2 linked regions of the Xenopus tropicalis genome follow. Each later gene encodes a partner of the first gene's protein in a complex. Links are inferred from orthologs where the notes say so. Each region holds a gene or a part of one and is shown on either strand. Other genes may lie near its edges.

The links.
Region 2: the proteins of fzd4 (region 1) and ndp are in contact, whole or in part, in a crystal structure (PDB 5BQE), measured with the Homo sapiens proteins. The link is inferred for Xenopus tropicalis from reciprocal best matches to the Homo sapiens genes FZD4 and NDP. Residues at the interface, in NP_036325.2 of Homo sapiens: Ser51, Met52, Gln54, Asn55, Leu56, Gly57, Gln95, Phe96, Met105, Thr107, Lys109, Ile114, Asn152, His154, Met157, Cys158, Met159, Glu160, Gly161, Pro162; in NP_000257.1 of Homo sapiens: Asp33, Ser34, Pro36, Arg38, Met40, Arg41, His42, His43, Tyr44, Val45, Asp46, Lys58, Met59, Val60, Leu61, Lys102, Lys104, Leu106, Tyr122, Leu124, Ser125.

What each region holds. Positions count from the first base shown.
Region 1 is NC_030678.2:168,413,989-168,418,266, forward strand, and holds the start of fzd4 (frizzled-4), read left to right. Parts: upstream 1-1,228; 5' UTR 1,229-1,750; coding exon 1,751-1,993; intron 1,994-4,278. UniProt on the Homo sapiens protein: Receptor for Wnt proteins.
Region 2 is NC_030678.2:56,030,287-56,032,921, forward strand, and holds the end of ndp (norrin), read left to right. Parts: intron 1-1,409; coding exon 1,410-1,637; 3' UTR 1,638-2,081; downstream 2,082-2,635. UniProt on the Homo sapiens protein: Activates the canonical Wnt signaling pathway through FZD4 and LRP5 coreceptor.

The sequences.
Region 1 (4,278 bases):
ACAGAATCTGTCCTTTGTCGTTTTAATATTCTTTACCTATAAAGGAGTCCCCTGCGATTGTGGGGGGCCCTGGGCAAATTACTTTGTTTTCTGACCCTAAAACTGACCCTGGAATTAAGAATAAATAAAATAATATTTTAAAAAAATGATTGTCCTTCCTTGAAATCTATCTCCATTCTGATTGTCGAAATGATTATTTAAAGGTCAATTTCCCTTTCTCTTATCAATCATGCAACTTCTACAGGCAAGGGATCTCTGTAATAATAAAACAGTACCTATACTTGATCCCAACTAAGATATAATTACCCCTTATTGGGGCAGAACAGTCCTATTGGGTTTATTTAATGGTTAAATGATTCCCTTTTCTCTGTAATAATAAAACAGTACCTGTACTTGATCCCAACTAAGATATAATTACCCCTTATTGGGGGCAGAACAGCCCTATTGGGTTTATTTAATGGTTAAATGACTCCCTTTTCTCTGTAATAATAAAACAGTACCTGTACTTGATCCCAACTAAGATATAATTACCCCTTATTGGGGGCAGAACAGTCCTATTGTGTTTAATTATTGTTTAAATGTTTTTAGTAGACTAAATTGTACAAAACCTACTTACGTACAATTTTCGGACCATGTGTGGGCTCCGGTACTTTTCGCACCAAGGCGGTTGCTCGTCAATAGGAGTACTGGAGCAGCTTTGGGTTTCAGCAGAACAAGGCGGGATTGCACAGAACCATCATATCCACCAACTTTGTATGTTTAAATACATTTTTATTGCACATTTCCCGAGACGCCGACCCCCCCCCTTTACGCATGTGTCCTTCCCCTCACACATTTTTCTGTGATTATGGAGTTTATTTGCGCTATCAGAGCACAAGTCCCCAGCCAGACTCTGCCAAACTCAGCAGGGGAAATCAAGTCTCCACTCCACAGCCAAATCCCCAAAATTATAGCCTGGATGCTGGCTCTGATACCAGCCTGAAAGTTAGCACTAAACAGAGACAGTCAGCGTTAACCCCTTCAGGGCAAGAAGAGCCTGCAGGGGTGCCCTTTCCCTAGCTACTCTGCAAGCCAGGCAGGCACACAGAGGGTTAAAAGCCAGACTGCTGAGTGAAGGGAAGAAACTGGAGGAAACTTGAGAACCTGGCTGAACTGAACCTCTCTGGATACCGTACCCTGGGAGAAGGCAGCCCCCACCATCCTCCCCCTCTGTGCCTAACCCACTCCCCAGCCTCCTCCCCTCATTAGTACAGGCAGGAGCAGGGGAGAGAGAGGCAGACAGAGGTCTAGAGGTGGAGAGGCTGCTGCTGTCTAACTGCGCTCTCTGCCAATGAGCATTGCACCCAGGGAATGTAACAGTGCAGCCTGACCTACCTGCATAGTGCACCCCCCTACCCACCTGAATAGTACAGCCCGACCTACCTACATCTACAGCGCAGCCTGGTCCACCTACACGGTGCAGGGGAGCTACCCAGGCGGCGCAGTTTGTGCGCTAACAGCTGCGGAACCCATTGGAACATACAAGTTGTTGGCACCGGGATAGTAGCACCATCTATCTTTCCCCCCTATTGGATGACAAAGGATTTGGGGAAAGTTCCAGACAAAGTTCAGAGATTTACATTTTTCCTCTCTTCTGCGATTTTTTTTGTTCCCGTCTGGTTTTCCCATCAGTGGAGTCGCAGGGTCGGGAGCTGGGGAGTCGGAACCCTTGGATCTGGTACTGAGTTGGGGGGGGGGGACACCTTGAATAATGGGAGTAAGAGCTTTAGCCTTGTGTTTGCCCCTCCTGGGCTGCCTTGTGGGGCACATCGCTGGCTTTGGGGATGAAGAGGAGCGGCGCTGCGACCCCATCAGGATCTCAATGTGCCAGAACCTTGGCTACAATGTCACCAAAATGCCCAACCTGGTGGGACACGAATTGCAAGCAGATGCCGAGCTCCAACTCACCACCTTTACCCCTCTCATACAGTATGGGTGCTCCAGTCAGCTCCAGGTGGGTACCTGCTGCCTAGCGATCGCTCCAGCCCCTGCGCAACTTCTGGTAATACGCGCAACCTACGCGGCGCCCCTGCCATTACGCGCCTTTAGTGTATTATATCTACTTATGTACGCAGCAGAATGCATTAATACAAACAGTTTAAAGATGATAATAGATAAATACAAAGTATAACAATAAATACAGATAAATTCAAGATACAGTTGCAATAAGTTAAGAGTCAAAGACACAAGAGGATGGAGGTCCCTGCCCCGTAGAGCTTACAATCTATATCCATATCGGAACCCAATTTGTAGCGCACCCCATTAAGTGAATTCACTTTATATGATCTCCAACCTGTACAACACTATGGGAGCGCCCATACCCACCTCTTTTACTGGTTCTATGGCTTTAAGTGCAACTTTATTCTTGCACCTCTAGGTGTGTAAGTGCATCTCTGCTTAATTCATACATTGTGCTGTATGTCTGGGGCTGCACATAAAGGGTGAAGACACACTGAGATACTAGTAGCAGCTACTTTTTCACGGCTACTAAACTCCAGAAAATCTCCTGCCATAGACAATACTGAGAATTGCCTCTTCCAAAATGTTAATAAATAAAACACACACAGAAACAGTTATCAGTAAATGATCAGCATTGTCTATTTTATTAGGGTGAAGACACACTGGGCTACTAGTAGCAGCTACTTTTTCATGGCTACTAAACTCCAGAAAATCCCCTGCCATAGACAATACTGAGAATTGCCTCTGCTAAAACACACGTAGAGACAGTTATCAGTAAATGATCAGCATTGTCTATTTTAGTAGCCGCGACAAGTAGCTGCTACTAGTAGCCCTGTGTGTCTTCACCCAAATAGGTTCTGGGAGACAGGCACCCTTTTTAGGATTAATCAGTGCATTTCGGGCGCCTCTGTGTCACTATCGGATTTTAATGCAGCTCACTCTGCTCTTAGTCGGTGAGTGTGTCAGGGAAAGGGTTAATTCAAACCCAGCTTTGGGGAAAGTTTCATGAGAAGGATGATTATACAGTAGTCTGTGTGTACGGGGGTGGCAGTAGCTATAGTATCTATATCATATATGCAGAATTTCTTCATTTTTCGGCTTTATTTCTCCCACTAATCATATTTTGTTTGGGGATTTAACAATCAGCATCAGCGTCCCCAAAATGTGACAATATACACTTGCTGCATTTTATTGCACCTACCCTTTAGTTCCCCTTTAGCTTCTCTTGTGTTGTATCTGTATTTCCTTCCTTCTCATAGTAGACTTTTAACTAGAAAGGAGAAATGCATAATTGCATTTGTTTCTCATATACATCCCTGTCCCTAGGAGCTTACAATCAAGTGCAGTGGCCCGTTCTGTGAATTAACCACTGAATGGCTTATCTTTAAATTGAAAAAAAGGATACATTTCACTCTAAAATGATCACTCATCCTGTGTATATGGCTCTCCAGCTGCTGTTGGTGTAAAACTCCCAGCAGCCTACTACAGGTTGTTAGTGGTGCTGGGAGTTGTAACTTTATAGCAGCCGGAGTGCTCCCTAAAGGGCATTGGGTGAAACACCTGTGTCGGGGTTCCTGTGTATGTACATATGTATTTACATGGGGCCACAAGTGTACTGAGTGGCACAGTTTATACACACGTGGCCGCACCAGTCAGAACTCGGGCCATTGCCCCAAAGAGCTTACAGTTCTGCCCTAGCCCTTTCTAATGCGCCACTCAAGAAAATAGCGATTAATGTAACTTAATTAAAGTAACTTTCCGGTGAAGCATTTTCAGTGGTTCTGAAAGCAGTAGTCTGGTCTGTTAAGTGACTACATTGTTTCCGGAGTCTGAACCTGCAGTGCAGAGGATATAAACAGCCAGGCAGGTACTGCTTCTAGTGGCAATTACAGTTACAATCAACGTGCATGTTTGCTTAATGAATTTATAGTAGAAAGTTGCATAAAATTACATTTAAACGTTTTTTTTGGGTGTAGCTCCCCTTTAATCAGGAACCCCCCCCATATGTTGCCCCCCCAGGATTCCATTTAAACTAAAGCATAACCTTTAAATTGATATTTTCATCAATTTACTATAAGGCAGGCTTTTGATTGACTCTGTTATTAGTTATCTTACTCATCAGACCCTTTTCTTATTGATATGAAATTGTCTGGTTTCTAAGGTAAGGTACCCTGGCAACCATACAACGTTTTTAAATCCCAGAGCTTCAGATCATGGTTATATTAAAGTGGGTCACTTTTAGGTTAACTTTTAGTATGTTATAGAATCCCCTTTTCCTAG
Region 2 (2,635 bases), about 110 Mb from region 1:
AAAATAAAATACAATGGTATCCATTGTAAAGGGTTATATAACAATAGGGTGGGAGAAGGAAAATCCCAATCACTTTGGAAGTGCCAAATATTAGCCCCCCTCAGTGATTGTAATCACTTACCTAACACCCTGGCCCAGGGCTTCTTTTAGCAGAAAAGTGCCCTGAAGTGGGGTTTATTGTGGTGAGCACAACAGTGATATCCTGTTCTTCTGCTCCCTCCTTTCTTCAGGGCCAACGCACGTGGGGTAAAGTAAAAAAGCCAGCTTTTTTGTTAAAGTTCGTCTTTTAACTGCACGTGCGCACCCGTGCGAAAAAAAAAAAACAGGAAGAGTATCGCTCCAAGGTGCTCATACAGCAGACAAATAATGCAACTATATTAAATGTTAACCATGTTTCATAGGTGCTTTTCAGGGACTTTAAGAAAAAGTAACAATAAAATTTTTTAAGTAAAAATCAATTCTACCCTGCTCCAATAATTGCCCTATCCTTCTCAGTGCTTATTATTCTGAATTCTTTATTAGAAAATACCTTGTAAAACGTTGCATCCCATCACTTCAAATACAGCGATACGGCGATCCAAAGAGATGCAGAATCCACTATGTGACGATCGACATCTCCTCCTAGCCCGACTCTGGAAGTCCGAAGTCAATTGTTTGCCTGTACAGAAGGAAGGCTAGGAGGAGATGTCGATCGTCGCATAGTGGATTCTGCATCTCTTTGGATCACCGTATTTGAAGTGACGGGATGCAATGTTTTACAAGGTATTTTCTAATAAAGAGTTCAGAATAATAAGCGCTGGGAAGAATAGGGCAATTATTGGAGCAGGGCAAGCAGGTTATTTATATAAAATTTTGGCATGGGGCTAGACATATTCATAGTTTCCCAGGTGCCCTCAGCCATTTGACTTATTTTCTTATAAACTTCAGTCAATCTCTACTGCTGCACTGTAAGTTGGAGTGATATCACTGCCCCTGCCGTTCCCCAAGCTGAACAAAGGGAAAGTATGAAGATAACAGCTCCCTTATACCTGTATTGCTAAAAAATGCTTCTATGCCCCACCTAGTGGCAGATATGATAGCAGCACCCAATAGTAAAAATCCAAGCCCGACTCACCCAGTTGACTGAGCTACAATAGGTTATCTGAAAGCAGTTCTAATGTGTAGCCCTGGCTCCCTCTAAAAGCCCAGAATCAGGCACAATGCACTGTGATTCCACCTACACACCAATATTACAGCTAAAAACATTTGGTTTTTGGTTAAAGAATGACATATTAAATGGTAGAATGAATTATTTGTAGTGTACACAGTGTAATTAAGTAATAAAAATACATCATAAAAATCATGACAGAATTTTATTTGTGCATGTGGTGCCTTTGCTTAATATGTATTGTTCTTCTGCTTTCCTATAGATGGTACTGCTAGCTCGCTGTGAAGGACGCTGCAGCCAGACTTCTCGCTCAGATCCACTTGTTTCCTTCAGTACAGTATTGAAGCAGCCATTTCGCTCCACCTGTCATTGCTGCCGGCCTCAGACTTCTAAGCTAAAAGCAATTCGCTTGCGTTGTTCTGGGGGCAGAAGGATGACTGCCACGTATCGTTACATACTTTCTTGTCACTGTGAAGAGTGCAATTCATAGAGACATAAAGACAACAAGTCAAGGTCTGAAGACAGTTCACAGAATATTTGTAATATATTTTTTATGCGTTGATTACAGTTTTGTGGAGACTCTAAAAGGAAATCTGCAGATGCCTGCCATTTGGTTATGAGGAATGAATATCTGTTGTTTATTTTTTATCATTTTTTTATATATATATAATTTACGTATTTTAAAGCATCAGACTTTATACATTTCGCTCTGTATAAGAAGATGAAAAACAATATTTTGTGTCTTTCTGCTACCAGCTAAAACACAGACATGGAACTCTCAGAAGATATTGTTTATTCCATTCCCTGTTTTAATATTGTCTTGTAGTACATGATGGAATAGTGCAAACTAAAGGCAAGGTCTGTTCATCACCATTGATATAAGTGTAGAATGATGGGCTGACAACAGAATAATAAAATATATTATTTAAATCTATAGACATGTTTTCTTTAATGCTATATCCAATCATTGGGCATGCATTTCATATTTTATTATAGTATTACATTTCATGTCACTTTTGAATCAAATTTCTTTATTATAATTGCAAAAGTGTTATTTTTTTATTTTCAAGATATTAGCAGTTGGCAGTAAGTAATACCTTGCTTCTTACAGAACAGCTCTGAGCTATAGTATTCACCAGCCATTTACCAGAAAATGACATGACTGCCAGGTAACTGCTTTCTTGTTACCTTCCCATTGTTCTGCTGATTGGCTGCTTGCAGCTCAGCAGTAAAGTGTGAGAAGCTCTATTAACTGATGTGTTTTAAAAACGCATCAGTATTCCTGTAAAGCTGGAAGCTGGCTACTGGAGGAGGAAGAGGACTGTGCGAGTCCTGAGTATTTTAGGAGCTGGTTGTTTTCTCTTTGTCATTAGCCAAAGACACATTATGCTATGTACCACTGGTCTCAGATAGCCCTTTAGATGTTAAGCCACACATTATACTAACGTAGGTATTTCAGGGCTAAACTGCTGTGTCTAAATCAGTGAT